Xenopus tropicalis: one gene and its partners. The protein of the gene in region 1 purifies or fractionates together with the protein of each later gene. This does not show direct contact. Links are inferred from orthologs where the notes say so. Each region holds a gene or a part of one and is shown in the gene's direction. Other genes may lie near its edges. The genes, in order: csnk1d, snx24, cry2, fam83d, vps13b, fam110b and per1.

What was found.
Region 2: the proteins of csnk1d (region 1) and snx24 purify together in Homo sapiens (affinity purification with mass spectrometry; 3 studies listed by BioGRID and IntAct, counting the BioPlex papers as one, with this or other methods). This does not show direct contact. The link is inferred for Xenopus tropicalis from reciprocal best matches to the Homo sapiens genes CSNK1D and SNX24.
Region 3: the proteins of csnk1d (region 1) and cry2 purify together in Homo sapiens (affinity purification with mass spectrometry; 3 studies listed by BioGRID and IntAct, counting the BioPlex papers as one, with this or other methods). This does not show direct contact. The link is inferred for Xenopus tropicalis from reciprocal best matches to the Homo sapiens genes CSNK1D and CRY2.
Region 4: the proteins of csnk1d (region 1) and fam83d purify together in Homo sapiens (affinity purification with mass spectrometry; 4 studies listed by BioGRID and IntAct, counting the BioPlex papers as one, with this or other methods). This does not show direct contact. The link is inferred for Xenopus tropicalis from reciprocal best matches to the Homo sapiens genes CSNK1D and FAM83D.
Region 5: the proteins of csnk1d (region 1) and vps13b purify together in Homo sapiens (affinity purification with mass spectrometry; 3 studies listed by BioGRID and IntAct, counting the BioPlex papers as one, with this or other methods). This does not show direct contact. The link is inferred for Xenopus tropicalis from reciprocal best matches to the Homo sapiens genes CSNK1D and VPS13B.
Region 6: the proteins of csnk1d (region 1) and fam110b purify together in Homo sapiens (affinity purification with mass spectrometry; 3 studies listed by BioGRID and IntAct, counting the BioPlex papers as one, with this or other methods). This does not show direct contact. The link is inferred for Xenopus tropicalis from reciprocal best matches to the Homo sapiens genes CSNK1D and FAM110B.
Region 7: the proteins of csnk1d (region 1) and per1 purify together in Homo sapiens (affinity purification with mass spectrometry; 4 studies listed by BioGRID and IntAct, counting the BioPlex papers as one, with this or other methods). This does not show direct contact. The link is inferred for Xenopus tropicalis from reciprocal best matches to the Homo sapiens genes CSNK1D and PER1.

Annotation. Positions count from the first base shown.
Region 1 is NC_030686.2:23,244,753-23,248,252, reverse strand, and holds part of csnk1d (casein kinase I), read left to right. Parts: intron 1-549; coding exon 550-778; intron 779-3,500. UniProt on the Homo sapiens protein: Essential serine/threonine-protein kinase that regulates diverse cellular growth and survival processes including Wnt signaling, DNA repair and circadian rhythms. It can phosphorylate a large number of proteins.
Region 2 is NC_030677.2:169,501,193-169,505,484, reverse strand, and holds the start of snx24 (sorting nexin-24), read left to right. Parts: upstream 1-1,492; 5' UTR 1,493-1,496; coding exon 1,497-1,556; intron 1,557-4,292. UniProt on the Homo sapiens protein: May be involved in several stages of intracellular trafficking.
Region 3 is NC_030680.2:13,669,040-13,673,215, reverse strand, and holds the end of cry2 (cryptochrome-2), read left to right. Parts: intron 1-683; coding exon 684-811; 3' UTR 812-837; intron 838-3,108; 3' UTR 3,109-3,676; downstream 3,677-4,176. UniProt on the Homo sapiens protein: Transcriptional repressor which forms a core component of the circadian clock.
Region 4 is NC_030686.2:40,361,921-40,365,420, forward strand, and holds part of fam83d (protein FAM83D), read left to right. Parts: intron 1-1,093; coding exon 1,094-2,033; 3' UTR 2,034-3,500.
Region 5 is NC_030682.2:128,392,182-128,395,681, reverse strand, and holds part of vps13b (vacuolar protein sorting-associated protein 13B), read left to right. Parts: intron 1-1,910; coding exon 1,911-2,737; intron 2,738-3,500. UniProt on the Homo sapiens protein: Mediates the transfer of lipids between membranes at organelle contact sites. Binds phosphatidylinositol 3-phosphate. Functions as a tethering factor in the slow endocytic recycling pathway, to assist traffic between early and recycling endosomes.
Region 6 is NC_030682.2:116,184,967-116,188,935, forward strand, and holds the start of fam110b (protein FAM110B), read left to right. Parts: upstream 1-1,169; 5' UTR 1,170-1,385; intron 1,386-3,969. UniProt on the Homo sapiens protein: May be involved in tumor progression.
Region 7 is NC_030679.2:144,457,499-144,460,998, forward strand, and holds part of per1 (period circadian protein homolog 1), read left to right. Parts: intron 1-53; coding exon 54-772; intron 773-883; coding exon 884-1,040; intron 1,041-1,346; coding exon 1,347-1,539; intron 1,540-1,657; coding exon 1,658-1,808; intron 1,809-3,366; coding exon 3,367-3,495; 3' UTR 3,496-3,500. UniProt on the Homo sapiens protein: Transcriptional repressor which forms a core component of the circadian clock.

The DNA of each region.
Region 1 (3,500 bases):
CTGTTCTTAAAAAGTTAGTAAGTAAATCGACTAAAAATAATTTGTCAGGCCAATAATAAACTTTGGAAAAATATATATTTCTGCACAGACTCTCCCTTTATTATGGGCCTTCAGGGTTATCCCTGGAAGAAACTAGTGATGGGTGCAGCCCATATTTACGCAGTGCTCCACTGCTGTAACACCATAGAAAAAAGAGAAAAAGCCACACTTCTTCTCTAAAAAGTGCGGCTTTTTCTTTTTTTCTTTTTTTTGTCGATTAGTAGAGAGGTTTAAAGTCTTAGGATACACAGGTCAGAGAGCAGCAGGTCAGTGCATGGTTCCCATGTGAGATCAAATGTCCGTTTGCTATGGGAGGGGGTCCAAACGCTTTGCATCTGTAAGTACCAGCTTTCTCAAGGTTCAAAAGCAATGTGGCTGAATACAATACATTTAGTCTATTTAAAACCATACAGTTAGTCGTGCCAGATCGTGTATGACTTTCCCAGTTTTAAATGTACATGTGCTGTAATAATAGATTCATAGATAATTGATTTGTTTCTTATGTTATAGATCAGCCGAATTGAATACATTCATTCCAAAAACTTTATCCATCGGGATGTGAAGCCTGACAACTTTCTGATGGGGCTTGGAAAGAAAGGCAACCTAGTGTATATCATTGATTTTGGGCTGGCCAAAAAATACAGAGATGCTCGCACACACCAGCATATACCATATCGTGAAAACAAGAACTTAACTGGAACAGCTCGCTATGCATCTATTAACACCCACCTTGGAATAGGTAATTTTCTTATATGAAAGATAGATTTTTGGGTTTCAAGGGAACTCCAGCTTTCAAACCAACATTTAGTAGAGCCCTACACAACAGAAACCCCTAATATACCTATCACTGTATGAGTCTCACATTTGAATAAATACCATTTTATATGCTGAAATATGGCTGCAAAACAGTTCTTCTCTTTCTGCACCATTCAGTATGCTTTCAGGTAAGGAGGGACTAAACGTTGAAGTTCTGTTTGGGTGGAGTCCCCCTTTAATATATTCATCTTTGGATCTCTGCCTTTCATGCTTAATTCTGGCATTCAATTAAATGCCAGGCAGCTAGGGATTATCAGCCTAACAGCCAGATGTCTAAACCTAAAGCTTGAAGACCTGGAACAAATCTAGAAACTTAGTGCAGTAAAATTGCTATTTAGCACATGCACTGTACTGTACTATCCGAGCACAAACAGAGGGTTAAGCTGACACTGCTTGTTCAGCAGACACCTGCCTCAGAATGCCCCACGCCCTCTCCTTCCTGCCTCTGTTCCTCTGCAGGATAGTGGGCCAGCTCAGTTCTTGTACAATTGGAGGAGTTACATTCTGCCCATTGGGATCCTGCTGCCTTGTAGCACCTTACTGCTACTCTTCCTTCACAATGTCTGAGGGATCCAATGACAGCATGTTTTCCAGGGGTACTTCCTCTACAGCTGTTAAATTTCTTGCCTGTGCCAAATGCTGCAAATATCTACCGCCAGAGTAAAGCACATAACTCCCAGGACCTGCCCCCCCCAGGTAACTCATGCTTCCCGTGAGGAACCCTTGGTCCCCCCCCAGGGAAATACCTCCTCCCTCAGTCCCATCTCAGCCCATCCCAGAGTGGGCATCCCAACTAACCAAGGGGATTCCAAAATTTGCTTACTCTCTATTAGCTTTTAGCCTGAATTGACAATCTAAAGGTTGTCAACCAAACACAGAGCTCCTTCCCCTTCCGAGGAAGAAAGCGAAGGAGATTCCTCAAATCCTTCTCCCCTTCCTCTGGATTCTAACCTTTCAGAAGGCAAACTGTCACTCAGAACCTGAGGTAGCTTCAGGCTCTTCCAAGACTGTTTAAAAGTCACAACAAGACATTACCAGCATTCCCTTCCCACTCGCATTTGGACCAGATTATTCAACAGGAGTGGCTAATCGCCATTTCTCAAGACTCCTTTCGAACCAGAGCTCATTGAAAAATGGTCTTCCCACACCTTCAGTGGATGCTCCTGTTTCCGGGCTTTCCAAGAACACTGCACTCCCAGGCGCCTCATCCTTCAAGGACTCCATGGACAAGAAGCTAGAAGGCTTACTGCACTCCTTGTTCATGGCCATGGATACTTCTCTCTGCTCATGGCCTGGGTTAGCAGAACGATAGTCATGGTCAGACTCCCTGCTTAGCGTGTCGGGAAACCCTTGCCGCAAGCTTTCACGGTGGGTCTCCCAGATCAAGGAAGCATCTGAAAAGCTTCCCTGGATGCAGCATAAGTGGTCAATCGAACTTCTGCGCTAGCAGTGGCAGCTCAAAGCTCTCTCTGGATGAAGCTATGGTCAGCGGATTTTTCCTCTGACAAATACTTGATTTCCATTCCCTTCAAGGGGAAACTTCTGTTTGGCCTTGATCTTGACAGAGTTATTAGTAAAGCTACAGGGGCAAAAGTACCTTGCTCCTGCAGCCTAAGGCACATTTTTCCTTTTGTACAGGAATATTGTTTCACGGCACACATAAGACCTCCAGATCTTCTCTCCTGAGACCAGATTGCTTCAGGCAGAAGACAATTTGGAGGTAAGTCCAGGTCTTCCTGGCAAACAATAAACCTCACCGCAAGCTCATGAAAAATTCTCTTTCGGGTGACTGGGTGCCACAACCACCATGGTGTACATCTGTAGGAGGAACTCGGGAAATTGTGAATCTGGGATATCACCTGGAATTCTCATCAATCCCTCTGTGCTGATTCTTTGTGTCTAAGTTTCCCCTGGAACCAGTCAAACCCAGAGCCTTTCAAATTGTGATTTCCAATCTCCTCAGCGCAGAGGTGATCACCCTCGTGCCTCCCAGAGAGCAACTCAAAGGCTCCTACTCAAATCTCTTTGTTGTCCCCAAAATAAACAGATCTTTTCACCCAGTCTTGGACCTCAACACATTCATTCGACCGTGAAGGTTCAAAATGGAGTCTCCTCGATCAATCATCGCAGCAGTGTCCCCGGACCTTTTCCTGGTCACACTCGACCCTAATGATGCATGCCTTCATGTCCCCATTTTCCACCCTGTCAGAGGTACTTGCGTTTTGCTGTTCAAAACCACCACTACCGGTTTCCACCCCTTCCATTTGGACTGACCTCAGCCCTACGTGTAGTTACCAAGATTATGGCGTAACCCCATATCTGGATGACCTACTCATCAAGGCACCTTCCCTCTCAGAGGACCAGCGATCTCTTCTCTCTACCATGAACACTCTACAGGAACTCTGTTGGTGCCTCAACCTTAACAAATCCTTGTTGGTCCCCAGTCAGTAAACAATATTCCTAGGGATGGTGTTTGAAACACAGACCAGAGGGTGTCCCTACCGCAAGACAAGATTCTTCATCTCCAGTCCCTGGTAAAGACCCTACTTATAAAATAGACTCTCACAGCCAGGTTCTGCATGAAAGTTCTGGGTGTTATGGTCTCAGCCATCAAAGCAGTACCCTTTGCTCAGTACCATCTTAGA
Region 2 (4,292 bases), on another chromosome or scaffold:
GGTTCACGTTTAAGTTAACTTTTATTATGTGATAGAATGTCATATACCTACCAAGTTTGCAACTGATCTTCATTATTAATTTTTTATAGTTTTTAAATTATTTGCCTTTCTCTTCTACATCTTTCTAGCTTTTAAATGGGGGTCACTGACCCCAGCAACCAAACAAATATTGCTCTGTGAGGCTACCAGTTTATTACTATTGTTATTTTATATTCTTTACCTTTCTCTTCAGTCCCTCTCCTATTCATATTCTTCTCTCTAGGTCAAACCACTGCCTGGTTGCTAAGGTGAACCTAAGGCCCTAGCAAACAGATAACTGCTACAATTCCAAACTGGAAAACTGCAGAACATAAAGTTAAATAACTGAAAAACCACAAAAAAAAATGAAAACCAATTGCAAAGTTTTAGAATATTGCTATATATATGTTATACAGTATCTAGTAGAATTAAGTCTAAAACAACTGGACTTTTCTGAGTTTTTCTTGAAAACGTTTCACCACTCATCCGAGTGGCTTCTTCAGTTCAAATGACTGGTAGGGAATTCCCCGGTATTTAAACTCTTGATGGTAGTACAGTCAAAGGCATCCAATCACAATGGTTCCATTGAACTTGTTCAGTTAGGTGTTAGCTGAAACTGACAGGTGTAAGAAGGTATGATCCAATCACAATGGTACCATGATTCTCATTGATGAAGGTGTTAATCCTTCAAAGTACATGACTGGAAGTGTGAACTGTTGTGAAACTGCCGGAGTAAGGATGTCAACGCGCCATCGTATGTTGGTGACAAGCAGTGTCTCAGGCCCCCTTGAAGAAGCCACTCGGATGAGTGGTGAAACGTTTTCAAGAAAAACTCAGAAAAGTCCAGTTGTTTTAGACTTAATTCTACTAGATACTGTATATCATGACCTGGATGAATGAGAATCTTCATAGACACATTGCTATATATAGCTCACTAAAAGTTCATTTAAAGGTAAACAAGCGCTTTAAATATGCCAGTTCACAGCTGCTTAAATATAACTACAGGCAAGGCTAACTTGTTCTCTTTGCGCTGCCTTTATAAATAGGGCCCAGTAATTTAGCAGCAGTCGGCCAACTGCATATTTTTCACACCCAGCGCAGTGTTATGACTCTGCATATATTGTGCTTGCGTTATTAGTCTCCTTAGCGGAACCTTCCGCCGGCTGCACCTTCCCAACGTTTAGCTACAGTATGTTGTTAAACACAGAAGCAGAAGGCAATGACTTGCCGTGTCAGCTGCCCCTCCATCAGGCAAGTTATGCAAGAAGGCTGGAATCCGGCAAACTTCCACATTCAGAGCGGTCACATGACGCGTCACATGACAGCGCTTTCCATATGGCTCTCCCCAGCGCCGTGCCGCCCAGTGCCTCTGCTGGTTAGTGCTCGTAGCGGCCGCACTCAGCGCCAACCGTGACATCACTGGGAAGCTTCCCATTGGCCGTGCCTTCATCGAGCCGTGCCCGGGGAGAGCGAACGCTATGGAGGTTTACATTCCATCATTCCGGTACGAAGACAGTGATATGGAGAGAGGCTACACGGTAGGGGAGCCAGCGCTGCCTGCAAGGGAACGGCACGGTTGTGCTTAATGAGTGTGTGTTAGTGAATGAAAAACACATCACCCCCCGACACAACTAGTGACGAACTACAAATGCCGGTCACAGAGCTGCGCTACTGCAGCTACCGACGCTCTCTGTTATTTGCCTATGGGTGATACCGGGTGGAATCAAAACAAATCCGGTTGCCTTCATCCCCTACCCAATGCTGTCAGGAACCAGTGCAAATGATACGTTATCTGGCAATGATAGTGAGGGTGCAATACCAAACTATTAACGGTATCACTCTATTGCTTTCTGTCCCATTCCAAATGTTGTTAAAGGCAAGAGGTGAGGTCACAATGGGCTTGGCAACTCCTGTTGTATCGGGTAGGAAGGGGGCACAACAGTGCGAGTGGGAAGGTCCCTCTTGGATGGGATTTTCGAGTGTGACCTCTCTCTGCAAACACATATAACCTATACAAGTGAGCTCTGGGTCATGTAAAAGAAAAGGTATTTTCAATCTTAGTGTCTTGTCAAGAGCAAATCCAAGGTAAAGGCACTTTTGTCATGCATGGAACTGATAGTTCTACTTCAGCACCTTCAAGTAAGGCATGAATGATCCCTAGGCAGAGCCTACACAGCCTAATGCACCTTTAATAGCTCTTTAGCTCTGTACGGCTGTAATTGTGCCGTATAGGCAGTACTTTACAGATGGTTATATGAATAGGGCGCCGTAGTTGAATAAATATACACACATTCTCCCCCCCCCCCCCCCCCCAGCTTTCATTCTGCTAAATGAATGCATGTGGTTTAATACATGATAAGCTTTAATAACCTTTAACCTTTTCATTAAGTGTGTTATTTGAAGTACTTTGCATTTGTGGAGTTTTTTATATGCAGCCCTTGAACCCCTTAAAATCAAGTGACTTGGTCAAACAAAGAAATCAGAAACTTTTTATCCCCTTTCTTGCCTTCTGATTTGGTTCAGAATTCAGCTGAATTTTTCACGAAAGATAGTCACAGTCTTTGCTGTGATCCTGTCTTTTTTATTTTTTATTCAACACTTTATAAAATTCTTAAACAAAAATAATAAGGATAACAGAGTTATAGCACATTAGTAAAAGCAGGTAGATGGGAAGTGCAGTATTACAGTATTTTAAAAATGGTTTCAAGTTTGAAGATATAATTTTTACATAGTTTATATATGAGCCATAGGAGTTACCATTCAGGGCCGGAACTAGGAGTAGACAGAAGAAGCACCTGCCTAGGGCGCAACAGTGAAGGGGCGCTAGGCAGGTACCTCTTTTGCCACCCCTAGTCCGGGATTTGTTCCCCCGACTTCATTTCTCTGTGCTGCCTCCCTGCACAGCATCTGCGTGTATTGCGCCCAGCGCTCCCTCCTCTACGGGCGTCCCTGCAGGGGAGGGGGGCGCCCGGCCGACTTGGCCCGCCTCCATTACCATTGATCAATAATGCAAGACTCTGTGGTCGTAAAAGAATTTGGTTATGAATGTAGTGCTTTACGGTGGTTTTGGAGCCAAGGGCTCCATACTTTGTTGTATTTGTCTGGGTACCCCAGTTTTGTATTGGGAAATGCTTGGTTTACCAGAGCCAGCCAACCGTTGTATAGATAGCCACTTACTTGTTATGTGTTTACGGGCCAGGTAAAGTAACTCAGCCATTGACGTTCTTATGTATTAGGGCAGGGGTGTCAAACTCAATCATATAAGGGGCCGAAATCTAAAATACAGGCTAAGTTGCCTGGCAAATTTTTTATTAAGATACTGTACGGTCAGGCACAGTCACCAGGGGCCACATAAAACAGCCAGAAGGGCTGTATTCAGCCCGCGGGCCTTGTGTTTGACACATGCGTATTAGGTAAAGGTGTTCAATAAAAGCCAGTAGGCATACTTTGGGATCCAATGGAACTGGCGATCCCATCACATCATGCATAAATTGGGTTACCTGCTTCCAGTAATTGATAAGGGCCGGCAGGTCCATATTAGGTGGTAGAAGTGGGGCTATCTGAGTGGCATCTGGGGCATGTAGTGTCTGTTTTGACGTATGAGTCGGAGAGACTCTTTGAAAAGAGTATCTTTGGATTGTACGTTGCCTTGTATATGGGAAAGCGTATTTGGGGGATTCAAAGGACTTCCTACCTTTCCTCTTGATCAATCTGCCCAATATTTTCTTGCCAAGCTATTTTGGAACAGTCGGTATGTGCAGTGATATTGGGTTTTAAGAGTGTGCTGTATAGTCTTGATATCATGCCTTTGGCGTGCCCAGCTTGGATGTTGTGATCCTGTCTTTAGTATTTACGTAATGTTATTTCATACATGATAGCACAATGCTTATAAATTTCTGGCATTATTAAAGGAGAACTAAATCCTAAAAACAATATGGCAAAGAAATTATGTATACAGGGATCATCATGTATATAGATTAGTCTTTCACCTCCACCCCCTTGTGGCTCCAGAGGTTTGAGCACAGCCTTGCAGAATGCATTTATTAACTCATCCAGAATCATTTTATTGAGAGTTTCCTCTTTCTGTATGGCTCCGGGGCTGGATTCCTTGCACAGTTCCTGCCACCCAGTGGCACCCTGTTGTCTCATGATGGTGAGTGACATAGAGGCATGTGAAGAATGGTACACTAGTTTTTAGATTAGTACATCTCTAAAAAGAAGTTCCCATTCCCATATGACTGTCCAGCGCTAATGTCAGCATCTGCTGCCAAAGT
Region 3 (4,176 bases), on another chromosome or scaffold:
AGTTTGGTTGAGCAGTGCAGCAGGGTTTACATCCCCTTTAAGCAGTATGCACTTCATGCCATTGTTTTTTGCCTTCACCAATACCCTCTTATATTTCAGCTGTTGATTGGCCGACAAGTTTGGTTTTGTGCTGAAACTTTCAGCACAAGCGTGTGCAAAAAGACACTGACTTCCATGATGGTACCTTGATGTCTCACTCGGGCCTCAGTCAGAATGCTCTAGCCTCTGGCTGTGATGTTCAGAATAAATGCACTTTTCTATAGAGCCCTTTGGGGCCTTCACACATTGGATGACAGTTAGATGGCCCAGTCGGCACTTTCAGGTTCCATTATATCGCTCAGTTTGCTGTGTTTAAAAGGAAAAGCTTTTCAGAATTGCTGTGTAGGAAAAGCTACAAAGCCCGTGATATTGAAAGACTATAAAACCCACAAGTGCAGCAGGTGGCGGTTAGAACAGGCAGTCAGCTGTTGTTGCTGATACAATTCTAGCTCTCAAAATGCTGGACTCCCTTGTTGTGGCTTTTAATCACCGTCTTGCATAGAGACTACAAATCCCATAATGCACTTAGCCCTTCCCTCAATGGGGGGCAGCAGTAAAAGAAAGGAAATGTCTATTTATAAGGATGTTGTTTCCAGTGTATACATGGTCTTTATGTGTTGTATTTACTTCTGTTCTTGTTGCAGCTCCTAAACAGTCTCTGTGCAACGTCGAGTCCCCCAAACGCAAGCGCAAGGTGTCAGAAGAAGAGCCGCATATGAAAGTCAGGGTGCTGTGCGCCCCTGAGACAGAGAGGCCGGCAAAAGACTTCTGAGCGCCGCAGCGGAACCCCCCTCCCTGGTCAGTAGCCAATAACCAACACCGTTGCCATATGTGAAGTCATCCATTAGGAGTCTCTGTAGCTCCTTGAGAATTTAAAGGGGATGTAAACCCAGCCATGATGCTGTCCCACTGCGCCCCCTAGTTTTCCTATAGAAGTTGCCAAAAACATAATTATAGATGCAAGAAAATTCACCAATGAGAATTCTACTGATAAAAAAACAATAAGAATGCTGATTCCCAGCACTGTGTCAGGCCCCTTGCTGGTACCTTACATATAGAGATAATGATGGCATTTTCCCCTCATTATATGGCACAGGAATCAGACATGGGGATAAGGGCAGACTTGTTCAGTGCTGGGAAACTGGGTTTAATGCTCCCAACTCCAATTGCAGGAACAGAGAACATGGAGCCGGATTTATACAGATCAGCTGGGATTCTCATTGGGGGATTTTTCGCATTTTAAAGCAGTCGCTGGCTGTGGGGATTTGGGGAAAAGTTTTATTGTGCAATATTGCTTTAAGAATACAGCCCTGATGTTGCTGGACTACAGCTCCCAGCATGCCTCACCCTTCATTATATGTTACATTATTCTGGGATTTGTAGCCCAGTAACAACTGAGTAAAGTTTGGTTGAGCAGTGCTGTGCAGCAGGGTTTATATCCCCTTTATCCAACAGTCAGTGGTACAGTAACGGGTGCTGGGTACCTCTGTAACTGAGCCTACCTGGAATTAATCAGACTTTAGTCCCATTTGGCCAGTATATCAGCAGGTTAGTATCCAGCCTATCCCACTGGGTTGGGCTTCAGGCTCAGGAAGGCTGAATTACTCTTTACTATTTATATTCCAGCCTATAAGACCATTACATTATCCCCCAGCCTAGTGTGTAGGAGAAATGTGCTACCGGGATAAACCCTTTAGAGAATTCCGCTCTTGCTTCCTATTGGCTGCCAATCATGCTTGGGGCAGTCCTTTATTTTATAGCGACTAGGTATTGGTTGCATATTGCCCTCTGTAGTTTTATTTCAACCAGTGAAACAGGACTGGGTGCCCTATTCCCCAGAGACAGGAAGGGTTAAATGTAATGGGAAATAATAGGTGGGATAGTTTAATGTGACCAGCAGGTGGCACCCTATCTCTGTATCTAGATATTCTTTCCTTTCTGTGAATGGGATCTATGGGTGGGAAACCAGCATTACCCAGAGGACTCTAGATGCGCCACGCTGCTGCCGTAGGGCATGTAGAATGTGCCCCCTGGGGAGGCAGTTAAATCCCTGTGCCGAATGTGCCATTAGCAAGTGTAACACACTTGGGAGGTACCTGCCTTTCTCCATTCCTTGTCCTGTCGTCTGTAAAGGGAAACTGCCTTTCCTCACTTCCCTGCATTGCAATCAAGAAGAGCCAGCAGATAGTATGTTATAAAATGTCCAGATCTTAGAAACCTTCCAATTGGTCTTTCATTTTTTAATGTTTATAGTTTTACTTCTTTCCAGCTGTCAGGTAAGGTGTCGCTGACCCCGCAATAAAAAAACTATTGCTCTGTAGAGCTATAATGTGATTGTTACTTTTCATGACTTATTGTTCTATTCAGGTCTCCTCCTATTCATATGTCAGTTTCTCATTTTAACCACTGCCTGGTTGCTAAGCTATACTGCACCCTAGCAACCAGATAGCTCCAAACTAGGGAAATGCTGAAAAAAAGCTAAATAATTTAAAAAACTATAAAAAATGAAAACCAATTGGAAATTCTGGCAATTCTCTTCCCTCTTTATAAATAACTGCATTATAAATGCAGAAGAAGTGACCAATGAGAATGCTGATTCCCAGCACTGTGTCAGGCCCCTTGCTGGTACCTTACATATAGAGATAATGATGGCATTTTCCCCTCATTATATGGCACAGGAATCAGACATGGGGATAAGGGCAGACTTGTTCAGTGCTGGGAAACTGGGTTTAATGCTCCCAACTCCAATTGCAGGAACAGAGAACATGGAGCCGGATTTATACAGATCAGCTGGGATTCTCATTGGGGGATTTTTTGCATTTTATCGCTGGCTGTGGGAAAAAGTTTTATTGTGCAATATTGCTTTAAGAATACAACCCTGATGTTGCTGGACTACAGCTCCCAGCATGCCTCTGCCTTCACTATATGTTACATTATTCTGGGGTAGTGGGTCAACGTGAGTTATGGGTTTGGGTCTCAAAAATTGGTTCTGCACAGGAATGGGGGCGGGGTTATTATTTCCTTTGCTTATGTACCTGAGGCTGATCTTGGTTTTTCCTCTCCCAACAGATGAGCAGCTGAGACACAGAGACGCCCGCACCCATAATGGCATTAGGACTAGCAGGAGGCTGCACTTTCCACAGGGGCCCCGAATAGATTTAACCTCTTAGCTCCCAGACGAGCGATGCTGATATCATTACTAGCTTCTCTGTCGGCCCTAGTTTAAAGCATTCTCCAACCCCCAGCTCGGTATTCGTCTTTATCTGTAGAAGAGGTGTCCGACACGGGGGCCTCTGGCTTGCTGCGGAACTACAGCAGGTCCCGTGGGGTTGGTGGGAGTTGTAGTTCCCCAACCACTTTGGCGCTTCCAGCTAGAGATCTGTGGCGTAGATGGTGGAGGATATTTCAAGCCAAACTGCCTGTGCCGCGTCTGGCTCTGTACATTGTATATAGGGTTACTAGAGGCTTGCTCATTCCCAGGGTGCAACTCATTCTGCCTTGGCAGGGGAGAGGTTAATATTGCATGTATTAGCAGAGCAGCGCTGCTGACGTGTAACCGCTCATATATGTACATTCTTCCCGTGTATGTAAATACAGATGCTGTTTGTATCATAAATGTAATTTTAAATACTCTTCACCCAGTCTGTCTGTCTTGTTTTCTTATCCTGGTAAAATGGTCTGTGTAAGGCCGTCAGGGGGTTGCTGGGAGTTGTAGTGCAATAAAACATAAGGGCTACAGGCTGGACATCCCTAAGTGATGTCATTTTTACCCCTCAGGTTTTCATTGGCTGGGAAGTGTTACTGGGAATGTAGAATCAGTGCATTAAGGATTATGGTAAAAAAACATAAAACTCGCTTTTGTAAAATGCTCATTTTTGTAGTAATAAATAATTATTGTATCTCTGCTGTGGTTTCTGCCGGGCTGCTCTCCTTCCCATGGTCAAGTTGAGCAGAGAAAACCCTAAGGGGTATATTTATCATGCTGTGTAAAAAGTGGAGTGAAGCATTACTGGTGATGTTGTTCAGGGCAACCAATCAGCTATTAGATTTCAACAGTTAGAAAACCAAAGCAAAGCATCTGATTGGCTGCTATGAGCAACATTACTCTACTTTTTACTCAGCTTGATAAATATACCC
Region 4 (3,500 bases), about 17 Mb from region 1:
AGGTGGTAATAAAAGCTGTAATTGCCTATTTAATAGCCCCTATGAGGACTTACATCCTATAGAAGGCTCTGTTTGGCATTACACTGAGTTTTTATGCAGTCAAAACTTGCCTCCTAACCAGAAATTCAAAAATAAGCACCTACTTTGAGGCCACTGGGAGCAACATCCACGCGGTTGGAGAGCAACATGTTGCTCACGAGCCACTGGTTGGGGATCACTGGCTTACAGACAGCATGCAGGAACTACATGACCCACAATGCATTGCACTGTAATGTTACTTTCCTTATTGACATCACATGTGCAGGGGAGGATGCAGGCTGAGGACAGGTGACTACTGTTACATTTGTTACTGTTACAGCCAGATCAACAGGGGGTGGGGCTTAGGCAACTGTTCCAAACCATATTATTATATTAAAAATTATAAAAAGAAGTTCCCCTTTAAAGTGTCCATAAACCTTGCCAAATGAGTGTATCTTTCTCCAATATGCCCACCTTGAGGTGGGTGATATTAGATTGACCCAATCATTTGGCCCAAGGGCCTTACAATCAGATCACATGGATGGGAAACAGGCCATTGGGACGAGGACGTCATAATCACACCCATGTACTCCTCAGCCCGACAGGATTCTTAAACCTGGTCGATGTCTGGCCAATTTTCAGCCAGGTATTGGTCGTTGAGGCCCATTCAAGAGCCCCGTACATGTTGGGGGGGGGAGGTTCTGAAGTGACTGTTTGCCACAAAACAAGCCAAGCTTGTGGTTTTAGGGTGAAGCCTTTTTATGTGAATAATAAAATGATTTATTTTAATCTGCCTGGTTGGTGCTCCATGCTAAGGACTGATAAAAGGGCCCCTTCATGACACAGTATCTGCTGACTTGGACCGTCAGCAAATTTTATTGTTCCATGAGCGTTGGGCAAGTGTGTCACCTTCCAGCTAGGGCCACCATGTTGTACACAAATACTTCTTCTAGCAATAATTTGGCAAATATGTTTTTGAGGGAAGGAAGGGTCTGTACTCCCCTTTTGTTAGGTGGGATCAGCCTCGTGTCAATAGTTATTGCTGGACTGACCAACCTTTTCATTTTGTTTTCAGCTTCACCTGGACTGATGGAAAGCTGAACAGCAGTAACATACTTGTATTGTCTGGACAAGTAGTTGAGAAGTTTGACCTGCAGTTCAGGATTCTTTATGCCCAGTCCAACCCAATCAGTGCCAAGCTTCTGTCAGCTATAAGATCCCATACTGTTGGCCTAGACAAGCTTCCCTGCAAGATGCCTGCCTACAAGAAACCTACATTGAGCAGCCTTCTGCGGATGGATCTGGCCAAACTCTCAAGCACCCCGAAAAGACAACTGGATGAATGTGCCGCCAAATACAACCGAGATGTTGTAGACAAAGCTGTAGAGGATGAGTGGCTCCAGAACTGTGACATCATCTCCGGGCTCAAGGAGATGCGGACGGTGGAAGTTCAGACAGAGCCGTGGGAGGGGAAGAATGAAGTAAGAATGGCAGATGTTGGCATACAGACTTCTGTATCTGCTACAAATGCTGGCACGCAGACCTCTGTACTATCAAAAATGGCTTCCACCCAAACCATAATGGTTTCAAGATCAATTACTACTCAAACAACCGATCCGTCACAATCTGCAACCCAGGCACCAGCAATTGCATCTACCACGGGCAGGCTCTCCAACTCCTCTGACTCTTCCTCGTCCTCTTTTTCTTCTGCTTCAACAACCAGCACCGACTCAAACTGTTCCATAAAGTCATCTGACTTTAATGCCGCGGCCTTTTATCAACCCAACTATCATCTGAGAGACAGCTTCAAGAAATTGTCCAAGGACAGACAGTACCACTACTCCACTATCCGTTCCAAGCTCAACCACATGGTGTCCATACTGTCTAACCGCAACCGCGTACCTAATGCTTACATGGCCAATGATGCCCCATGTTATGGACTACAGAGGAGAGATTTTGTGCACAGCAGCCTCCTCAATCTTCGAGATGGGGTGCGCTTTTATCCCAACATGTGACTGGGCTTGGATTCCAGGTCTAAAATGTTCTTTTAAGCCTTTTCAGTGTGTCCTTTATGTGCTATACTACCGCTTTATATCACTTTGAAGCACTTTAGTTCTTTCCAGTGCCTTAAAATGAGAGGCATGCTGTACTCTCCAACATTCGGGCAACAGAATATTTTTGACTAAACCGCTTTACAGTAAAAGATGTTTCTAGTGTTCTTACCATCTCCCCCTGTCCCTTGAGGGGAGAAGCCTAGCCTTAGGCATTAAAAGAAATGACAAGTTAGGAATCGTTTGGATAAGAGCAACAAGTTCAGACTCCTTTTCTATTGTAGGCGGAGGAGAAGGAGATTTCATGTCACCTGCCGTTTGAAACCCCTCAGGGTGGTTGCTTTGAGTTCATCAGAAACAAAATAAATGTGCACTTTCCCTTGCTCTGTTATCAGACCAGTGCCTTGCATAAAATGACCCAATGACTGCCATGTTTACTGTGCTTTTAGTCCGTTCCCCATGCACTACTACACGCCCACAGTGACTACCCAGCTGCTTGTATGTACAGTAATTATGGAGGCCAGCTCTGTCATTTTTTTGCAAATTAGTAGCCCTTTGGCCTGTGGAAGAGACTAAAATAACTGCCATCCTGAATGGCATTTTATTGGTCCTGCTGTGTTCTTTTTATTGTTTCCCTGAGGACCATCTCAATGTGACCCACCTAATATGAGTATATGGGTAAATATTTAATTCGGAGGCAGTCTAATGAGTAAGTAGAACTTTACACCTTAAGGGTAATCATACTTGGCTGGGAACAGGAATGGTCTCATGTTTTAAAGGCAACAAAGCCAGTTTTTTTAACTAGTTTAAATGCACTGTTTGCACAATGCAAATGTTCAACACACAACCCACACTGCTACTGGCAAAAATAACAAGAAAAATAATATAATTTGCACATCTGTATACTGATATTGCACATACCCGGAGCACCCTGTACACCTGTGAGAGGACCAGCAGTTCATGCACCTTCTATTTCTTTTGTTTCCTATGATAAATTTACCTGTGTTGCTATATTTGTATCATCACTAGGTGTGTATATAGGCCCTGTGCCTAAACCTAGCACACCTTCACCAGACTAAAGGACATGTGTGCATGGGTATAGTCTTACAGAATGACTGAAAAAGACACAAACACAAAAATATATATATAATAAATATTTATAAGCCTGCATTGTAGGAATGTTTGCAGTAATACTAATACTTCTTTTTTGCAACTGAGATAGATTAACCCTTTCCCCGAGTATTTACTATGTGTTATAACCCTGGCATCCGATTTTATTTGACTTTCATCAAAGAAATATTTGTTTTTGAGTCCATTGCTGCACCTTCTGAAAACAAAAGACTGGGTTGGAAACACAGCGGAATAATCTGGAGAAAGAATGCCCTTGGTGTCTCTAAGAGAAGGAGATTACATATCCCACACACACCCCTT
Region 5 (3,500 bases), on another chromosome or scaffold:
CAAAAAACCAGCCCCACTTACTGTTCTCATTCAAGCTAAAGCTGCTGATATCACTACTGACTACTACAGTCCCTCCTTCCTTTCTAGAGAACCCCTCACTAGGAGAGCAATTCCCTAAGCACCACTAGGGGGAGTTCTCCCTACAGTACCCAAAGCACACCTGCCATCTAGTGCTTGGAAAACAGTGGCCCACTTTCTCTCTCTATGGGGAAACCCTACAGGGGATTCAAACCTAGCACTAGTGGCATCTCCCACAACCCTACACATATAAGTTTATGTCGTAAAATGCCACAAGTTTCCATGGATTGTAAAAAAGATACTAATGTACCACTTGCTGGGGAATTTCCAGGTTTTATTACCATCAAACAAGTCATGGTCATTTTTATCACCAGCAAAATTATGCATGTATGGTACTCTGCCATCTTCAAAATCCTCATAGTTGAAAGACAGATGAGAATATGGCCGGCATTGCAGCTACTGCAGAACCTCTTCTCCCCAGTTTGCCAGGGATATCTCTTACACAGGCTGCAACATATGTTCATGTTCACAAAAAAATGACTTTACCAATCACTTCACCAACATTAGGTGCTCTACGACACACTTTTTCAAAATAAAAAATTCTTGAGTAATATCAGTGTTATAACAATATTGTTATACAATAGGACCCTCATGGTAATAGCATATATTAACATCTAACATTTCCCAGGGTAAGGCTTCTCACTCATCCAGGGGCATTCATTCTCTATATAAATACCATAAGAGCCCATTGTCTGATGATTGTGCTGTGTGCATCTGATATGTTAGGGTATCACGTAAACCATTTTATTAAAGGCAAAACAGAACACTGCATTTAAGTTAGTTTTCCAGGACTCAGAAGTTGAAAACCACAAGCTACTGTACCTATGGTATATAGCCATTGTTACTGACCTGCCTTGCTAAAGGAACTCTTCTTAGTTGTCCCGCTGCCCATTTAGTCGTACAAAGCTTGACTCACTAACATTATTTACATTGACCATGCTACAAATGTATTTAAGCATGAAATAAACCCAATAGGATTGTTTTGCCCCCAATAAGGGGTAATTATATCTTAGTTGGGATCAAGTACAGGTACTGTTTTATTATTACAGAGAAAAGGGAATCATTTAACCATTAAATAAACCCAATAGGGCTGTTCTGCCCCCAATAAGGGGTAATTATATCTTAGTTGGGATCAAGTACAGGTACTGTTTTATTATTACAGAGAAAAAGGAAATCATTTTAAAAAATGTGAATTATTTGATTAAAGTGGAGTCCAGGGTAAATTGCCTTCACGTAATTTGGACCTTTCTGCAAGACAGCTTTCCAGATAATGGATCCCATACCTGTATTTGTCAAATGTTTGCGTGTCCTTTATATTCTGCTCAAATATTTAATGAACTTCACCGTTTGTAAATCATTATGTTGGAAGTCTTAGTTGTAAGTGTGCAGTCCAGTGGGACATGCCTTGTTGTATTAAATTATATTAAGTATTTGTTCCTGTAGACAGTATACCCCCTTATTCAACATGAATTCAAACATCATAAACATAAGTTTATGCTGAGCATACTTTTTCCATACAGTTTCGTTCTAGAGCTAAACAGGGAATTTGATGCTACTCCATGTTTAGTCCTTTCAAGGTAGATAATTAGATTACCAGTACGCAACGTCACCTTTTGTTGTGACTGTTTTGTTACGAGGAAGTTCTTTATGCAGAAGGGATTATTTGTGCATTGGTCATATAATTATCTTGCAAAGACCAAACATGGAGTTTCCCCTTTTTTGTAGCTGAAAAGTATGCTCAGCACAAGCCCTATTCATTGCACTCAGGTAGAACATGGGGGTGTACTTCCCCTTTATGCTGCAGTGCAATAACTTGTCTTCTTTATCTATAGGTCTCAGAGCCAGAGTGTTATGGTCAAATTCTTCATCACCCAGTTGAGCCTTGGAATTTTTGATGATGTCACAAATGCTAAAACATCATCGGAGCTTCTGCGCCTCACTCTGGATAATGTGTTCTTTAGCGTGACACCGGTGAGCAGCTACCTCAGACAGCCGTGTTTGGAACTCCAGGCAGATATAACATGTGGAAGTACCTTGTTCTATAGCCTGGAGATGTACTGCGGAGACCTGCAGGTGGACAACCAGTTGTACAACAAATCCAACTTCCATTTCCCAGTTCTTGTTTGCCAAGAGGAGAGAAGCGATAGTGCCAGATGGGCAAAGTCCAATGGGTTCCAAATGTCCACCAAAGAATTAGAAGCTTTCAAGGAAAGTTCCTTTGTGAAATTCTTTGTTTCTCTGTCAGTAGAACATGAAGCGTACGACCTTAATGAGCTTAGCTTTGAGATGAAACCATCTCGACTTTACTTAGAAGACACTTTTGTTTATTACGTTAAAACACTTTTTGACACCTACCTCCCGGATAGCAAAATACCGCACAGCGCAGTAAAGTTCCCAGGACCAAAGGTTAATCACCTGTTACCGGAACAAGTGAGGCTATACGCATTAGCCCTAGTTAATCCAGTGAAGCTGCGGAAGCTAACAGTGCAACCCGTCAACCTCCTGGTCAGCATTCATGCCTCCCTCAAGCTCTACATTGCCTCTGATCACACCCCATTGTCCTTCTCTGTCTTTGAACGTGGACCTATCTTCACGACAGCCAGGCAGCTGGTACATGCCCTTGCTATGCATTATGCCGCGGGTGCCCTGTTCCGAGCAGGTGAGTATGGAAAACAGTATATAATTGTTCATTGTACCAAAAAATCCTATAGCGCTATATAGTAGAGAATTGGAAAATGTAACAACAGACAGAGCTGCTTCTAAAACTCATGATATACATCATGCCTAATAAAGAGATGATGGTGCAGAACTAGATATAGTCTGCCCTAAGCTTTAAATAGACATTGACCAGTGTGATTACATTGCAAATAGGCCACTTCCAGCTCAGATCTCTGAAGAAAGCGGCTCGCAAAGCACCATGGTCAGCCAGAAAATGGATAAAACTCGAACTTTATTTACATTCTTAAAAACCCAGAACGCCTGACGCATTTCGTGCGTAGCCGCACTTAATCATAGGCAACTTCCAGCTCAGAAATAAACATGTTACCAGTGGCAGGGATAGAGGTCTGGCCTTATGGATTTTATCCCTTATGGACCTTTTTCCCTACCCATACAGGCCTCTTTCCCATACACATCCACACTCTCTGTCCTCAGTGTACTGTGATATCTTACAAGAACCACATAGGGGACAGGCCCTGGCGCAGTCACCCCCCACCCCTTTCCAGTAGTGCTGCCACTGAGTATACCATAATATACTTGTTCCTGACCTGCTTTTGTGGTGTTAAATATCAAATCATCTAAATCCAAAAAGTAATTAATGTAAATTTACTCAGTACTTCACTCATTGTATTATGTGTTTATCCAGTGTCTCTCACTGAGTAACGTACTAGAGATGCTATTACGCTTTAGTATATGGGGGTACC
Region 6 (3,969 bases), on another chromosome or scaffold:
CAGTGGCACAGGGCAGATCACACCTGCAACTTAAATATGTAGAAGCACAAGGTTTCTTGAGTGTCTGGGGTTGCATTGTGCCATGCAGGTATTCTCTTGGGACCCAGGTAACTTCCTGCTGCAATTAGGCACTGCTAATTAAACATATTCAAATCTATGAGGAAAAGAACCCATTCTAAAGCTGGCCATACACGCACTGATACTATCGTACGAAACCTCGTTTCGTACGATATTTGGTGCGTGTATGGCATGTCGGCGAGTCGACCGATATCGCAGGAAGCTGCTGATATCGGACGACTCGCCGATCGGCCAGGTTAGAAAATTTTGATCGGGCGCCATAGAAGGCACCTGACCAAAATCTGCCGTCAGGGCTGAATCGACAGGAGGTAGAAATCCTATTGTTTCTACCTCCTTATCTGCCGTTTCAGCCCTGACTGTGTGTGGCGGATCTGACTATGTTTCGTGCGACCATCGGATCGCCACGTGTATGGCCAGCTTAAACCCTACAACTTGAGTGAATGTCTCCCACCTTAGTCACTCACCTACCCATTCAGTGAAGGCAGAGCCTGTGTATCCCCTGCTGTGGGCAGAAACATTCATAATACCCCAGGATATTACTTTGCTGCACATTTATACCCATTGAATCAAAGCAAAGAGTACATGGGAGGAGCTGCTGTAGCGTTCCCAGTGCTGGTGCGTTTATATAGAAGAAGCAACTGGTCTGGTTGCGATTTTAGTCACTTTTGGGCGCGATAATTTGCCCAGCGTTAGCTTTTCCTTGAGAAGAGACTTTCTTTGCCTGATTCGGATTCTTTGCCTCCTCTATACGCAGCAAGTTCTTCTCTGAAACACAACGCGGGAAAAAGGTTGGTTGGCTCTATGTGTTACAGGTTGCCGCTTTTAAGCCCACCTCCCTGCCCCCATACCCTCCTCATGTTTCTGAGACCTGCCAGGCAAGCTCTATTGTTCAATGTGGGGGGGTGGGGCTATACCTATATCCATTTTCACAGAATCCCTGAGCCCTCCCCTCTATCCCTTACCTGCACTCACTGGCCAATAAGCTGCCGCTCCTCATTACCCGTATTGCTCCTAATGAACCCTAAACTCATAAATCAAGCACGATTTCCAGCCAGTCGCTAGGTGGCGCCAATATACTCTTCAAATCCCAATAAAATATCGAAAAAAAAAGGAGAAGCGGTATAATGTGTGCGAGTGATCCCTCCCCCTCCCCAGGAAGTGGAAAGGGCTGAGCTGTTCCTGCAGGCTGAATAAAGCAGATTTAATTCACTGCTATCCTGTGCCTGAACCCATCAGCAGCTTATTTGCGCTTTGTGCATCGGTGTTGTGACTCTGCGTCTGTACAGATGCAATAGGAGACAGACACGGTAACGTTGCATCTTTTCTTTGTAACAGTCACTTTTACCAATGAAAGAGCCCGGGATTATTGAATGACTGCCTACAGATAGGCTCATCGTTTTGTTTTGCTTCAGCCAAACACATGATTTCACGGGACTTAATTGCCTATTTAAATAACGCAGATCGGGTTTTATTTGACCTTTATGGTATGCTAGCCAATCAGTGTTGAGCATAGTGGGACTTTGTGCAGTGATGCCACATGTATGCTGGAGCCAATGCTGGTTAACCCTGCGCTCTCTTTATTATTGGATCTGGAATTTGTCTTAAAATGTGTGCTGAGGGGTGCAGGCTGCACTTGCATGGCTGTTATGCACCCCATTTTTGTGCTTTATGCAAAAGGTACTGCCCTGTGCCTTCTTGTCAGGCAGTCTGCGCCCCATTGACAAGGATAAGGTGCAGGGACCATGGCATGGGGTTGGTTGTTGTTGTGGGCTTCCGAGGCCCCTAGTAGTTGGATTCAAGGAGCTCTATCACTGTAAGCTCTATCACTGTAAGCTCTATCACTGTAAGCTCTATCACTGTAAGCTCTATCACTGTAAGCTCTATCACTGTAAGCTCTATCACTGTAGCCTCTATCACTGTAGCCTCTATCACTGTAGCCTCTATCACTGTAGCCTCTATCACTGTAGCCTCTATCACTGTAGCCTCTATCACTGTAGCCTCTATCACTGTAGCCTCTATCACTGTAGCCTCTATCACTGTAGCCTCTATCACTGTAGCCTCTATCACTGTAGCCTCTATCACTGTAGCCTCTATCACTGTAGCCTCTATCACTGTAGCCTCTATCACTGTAGCCTCTATCACTGTAGCCTCTATCACTGTAGCCTCTATCACTGTAGCCTCTATCACTATAAGCTCTATCACTGTAGGCTCTATCATTGTAGCCCCTCCAGTAGAGTTGTATCTTACCGAAAAAATCTGAGCTCTATAAAGCACACCCATTCCACCCACTATGAAGTGCTGCTGCTCAGTAAATGAGCCCCAATAAGCTTGACGCTTGCGTAGAAGCTTGCACTTGCCTGTTCATTTGTGTACGGGAATTCGGTGAGAGAGGCCACATGCAAGGTTTTTACTGTAAGGAGAAAGTCCTGGAGGGAAGGTTTGTTTAACCGCTGCCAGCACTGCTCATTGATTGTTCTCGTTGTTTTTATAAGGTTTCCGCTTTCCTTTGTCAGTTCTTTGCTGTAAGAAAAGCACAGATTGGCTCTGTTTGTTGGCTTGAAATAATAATATTGTCCAACCTGTGGCTTTCTAGCTGTGCTTGAACTTCAACTCTCAGCATCCAACCCAAAGGTTACGGGGAGATCCAGGGAGTAGTATTGAAAAGGCAGCAGGCTGGACTGTGATGCTCTGTTGGAAAGCATATGTTTTTAATTAGCGACTATGGATCAGCAGTGTATCATTGCGAAACAACAATCTCACAGGTCAAGCTGCTGTCACAGAATCCTTTATAAATGTCTGAGTTCTGTAATTACATTTAAAATTACATTTTGCAGACCTGATGCAGGAGTTGTATAGCAAGGAAACATTGGTGCCCAATGTTTTTCCCTGTGTCTGTATTCCTGTTATGGGCACAAACTCTACTCAGTTGAAGCTTTACAGTTTCTGCATTCCTCCAACAGAGAAGCTCCAGGCTGCTGTCTGAATCTCCGCTCTAGTGTAGGTTCAGCAGATGTACTGCCCACAGGAGATTTGATGCCCCTGACAAGGATCACGGGGGTATACTGGGCACCAATTTTTAAATCTGTCAAAATCACATTAACAGCTACTTGCATCCCTCTGTAAGCTGCCATCAGGGTTAACACTAGCCTAGTCCCGGAGACTATTGCATGGTGAACTGGTGAAAAATTACATTAAGTGGCAAGAAAAGGCCCAGCTAAATATTTGCTATATATGTATGTATATATAAAGCATTTGGTGCCAGTATCTACAGCCAGATATTCTATGGAGCCCCCCATTAAACTACCAATTACTGTCTACTTTTCTTTTGGATCCACCCTCCTCCTCTACTCCTGGACTTAGCATATGTACCATATTATTCCCATAGACTCTGAAACCCTACAGGAGACTGGAAGGTAAATAATGGCCCCAATTGCTTCAATGTTTCGCTGTCCGGATGGCTGATATAAACAATAAGATTACATCTTGTGTTCTTATATATTGCTGTTAACTGTATTTTCAGGTGATTTTCTGCTTGTTCTACATTAGGGCCAGCTCAACAGAACTGTTCAGTGGGTCTGACTTCTAATACTATAAGTTCAACCTGATATCTTGTGAAAGTGTGAAGCCATATCTTATGTGTAATGATAATTTTGGGGTCTTATGTTGGGGCTATAAAGCCCCAAGAGACTGTTACAAGCCATGAGTATATTGTACAGGAGGACTTGGTTTTTAAACTTTCAGTGCAAGGATACACACCTTAACAATGAATACTGCAAAAGAATTCTGAGTGGAGTACTGTGGAGTGGAGTGAATATGTGATCCTGTTCTTCCCATTGTTGTGCTCATCAAGTTTCATGCAATGCAATCAGACTGCCATGATGATGCCATCAA
Region 7 (3,500 bases), on another chromosome or scaffold:
TCTTGCCTTTCTGTAAGAACAGTAGACGTGACAGCGGTTTTTCCTCTCTGTAGGTGCAAAGCCTCCGCGTGCCCCCCAGCACCACCATGCCGCCTCCAGCAATCCTCTGTCGCCATCCAAGGGAGAATCACGCGCAGGGGGTGGCCGGGGCAAGAGTGGCAAATCAAAAGCCAAGCGCCCTAAGCAAGGCAAATCCCCCTCCTCCAGCTCCATGCAAACGCACAACCTCCTAGATGCCAACCTTCTACCTCCCCCTCCTCCCGTTATTCCTGGATACCCCCTGCCCATGTACCCCCCACGGGCTCCTGACCCCACCCCAGCTGTCCCCAGATACCCACTCGTCACTCCTATTGTAGCTTTAGTGCTGCCCAACTACCTCTTCCAGCCTCCTCCAGTTGCACCTCCTTTCTACCCTGGGGTTAATGGGTTTCCTCCTTTTGCCCCTTCTACTGAGACCCCGCCTGCTGCACCTGAAGCCCCTCCTCCGGCTCCTCCTCCTCCAGCTCCTGCTGCACCTTGTGCTCCACCTTCCCGCTCCTCTTCCCCTCCCCATCGCCTCTTCCCGTCTCGTTGCAGCTCCCCCCTGCAGCTTGACCTGCTGCAGATGGAGGAATTGCCTCAACCCGGGGCAGGAGGAGGGGGGGAGTGGGAGCTGGAAGAAGAAGTTAAGGGAGGTAAAGGAGGAGCAGCACCCGGGACATCTGTAGGCGGAGGCGGAACCAACACAGGAACAGGAAATGCAGAAGAGAACAGCCCGGCGGAGAACTGCATGGTGGGTACAAGCATAATATTTATTGGCTTCACTTCCTGTTCCTCCCCATTGTGCCCAAACGTGTCCCTACAACTGCCCCCCCAGTGATGTTTTGCTATTTCCCCCTGCTAGGGCGACCCCCACGAGTCCTCCTCCCACAACGACGCACTCTCCAGCTCCAGCGACCTATTAGATCTGCTCCTGCAGGAGGATTCGTGCTCCGGAACAGGGTCCGCTGCCTCCGGCTCCATGGGATCCAACGGGGGGAGCACCTCCGCCTGTGGCACAAGTGAGTCACATCATGCATTACTCCTATAGCCTCTCCTAGTCTCTCATTTAAACCACTCCCCGGTTGCTAAGGTAGTTTGAACCATAGCAACCAGATAACTGCTAACATTCCAAACCTGAGAGCCCTTCCTGAAGACAATAATGGATTCCTAGACCAATTGCAAACTCTCTCAGACTATGAATCTCTACATCATACTGAGAGTTAACTCAAAGGTTAACTTTCCCTTTACATTTTCTAGGGTGGGTGGGGCTTCGTACTAAATGTATAACTTGAAATATAACCGCCAGTCTTTCTTTCTCCAATCAGGAAGCAGCGAGAGCAGCAACACCAGCAAGTACTTCGGGAGCATCGACTCCTCGGAGGGGGACTTGCGAGGAAAGAAGTCGGAGAGGGACGAGGCGGAGAGGAAAGTGATCCGATACGTCATGCAGGACCCCCTCTGGCTCCTAATGGCCAACGCCGACCACGACGTGATGATGTCATACCAGCTCCCACCCAGGTAGGGGCGCTAGGCCGACGGTGTCTATGTGGGGTACATGCCTTTCTTGCTCCAGGGCTTCCTTCTCTCCTCGACCCCCATCACTTCTGGGACTCATCCCCTTCAACCTCCCCAACAGGGATATGGAGCGCGTCCTGCAGGAAGATAGAGAGAAGCTCAGGCAGCTCCAGAGGCACCAACCGAAATTCAGCGAGGAGCAGAAGAGGGAGTTGGGGGAGGTGCACAGCTGGGTGAGGAGAGGCCGCCTACCCCATGTCATCAACATCACCGTGAGTACGGGCCGCGGCAACGGAGGCTGCCCGATGTAGGGGGATATGTACTAATGCTTTTCCCTCCTAGCAACACCCACCTAGCAACACTCTGGGGGGCTCTGGGGGTCTGTCCTGTTACCCTTCTGTCTATTGCATGTAAAGTGTAGTTGGGGCATTGCGCCTACCCTTCTAATAGGGGCTCACCAGTGGCCAACAGGGGCGTCACCCGTTACACCAATGTAAGGGGTTGGGTTGGCAGGCAGGGCTGGGTCAGCTAGGGATTTTTTTGTAGGAGGGGCCTGGTGGGGTCTAGGTGCGCCACACCTGTCCTGCCGGCCCAGTTCGATCCTGACCAATAGTGTACCAAGACCACGCCAGGCCCCTCCTACAAAAAATTCTTTAAAGGGGCCCTGACAGCTAACACAAGCACTATGTGCATGCCCCTCGCTTCCCTCTCCCCGCCCACTAACTCTTAAAGACTGCCGGCACAGTCCGACCCTGACCAATGGCGTACCTAGACCACGCCAGGCCCCTCCTACAAAAAATTCTTTAAAGGGGCCCAGACAGCTAACACAAGCACATGTGCACGCCCCTCGCTTCCCTCTCCCCGCCCACTAACTCTTAGAGAGGAGAGTGATGGAGTGGGGGGCCTGGTTTTTCCCTGGTGTGCTGCCGGCCCAGTCCGACCCTGACCAATAGCGTACCTAGACCACGCCAGGCCCCTCCTACAAAAAAAAAATCTCCGGAGGGCCCTGGCAGCTAACACAAGCACTAAGTGCACGCCCCTCGCTTCCCTCTCCCCGCCCACTAACGCTTAGGGAGGAGAGTGACAGGATGGGGGGCCTGGTTTTTTCCTGGTGTCCTGCCGGCCCAGTCCGACCCTGACCAATAGCGTACCTAGACCACGCCAGGCCCCTCCTACAAAAAAAAAACCTCCGGAGGACCTGGGCAGCTAACACAAGCACTATGTGCACGCCCCTCGCTTCCCTCTCCCCGCCCACTAACTCTTAAAGACTGCCGGCCCAGTCCGACCCTGACCAGTAACGTACCTAGACCACGCCAGGCCCCTCCTACAAATAAATCTTCGGAGGGCCCAGGCAGCTAACACAAGCACTATGTGCACGCCCCTCACTTCCCTCTCCCCGCCCACTAACGCTTAGGGAGGAGAGTGATAGGGATGGGGGGCCTGGTTCTCCAAAGCTATAGAGAAAGCAGCCCCCCAATGTGCAAGTCCATTCTGCAGAGTGTAAACTGTATTTGTGAATAAAGTACCCCCTGTTGTAAAATATAAGGAGATTATAATACACCGAGGAGTTCCATGACCATATACCGATCAGGAGGTGACTTCTAATATCCTCATATTTCACAACAGGGGGTCCTTCATTTATTATAATAGACACGTTTTAGTGAGTCATGTTACAGAAATGACATCACTAAGCTCCGATGACATCACTAAGCACCGTTTATAAGGAAATGACCCGACTGTATATTATACATATATATATTGCATTTAGCGTTGGTTTTATATGTGCTTGTACAATAACTCCCGTTTCCCATTCCCCCCCCCACCCCCCAGTCTTGCACGGGCTGCTCCCCCGACGGCCCCCCATACGATGAGGATCTAGACTTGTCCATAATGATGGAAGAGGGAGGGGACTGTGCGGCGGTAGGAGAGGAGGGTGGCGGAGAGGCGACAAGTGGATGAAACGG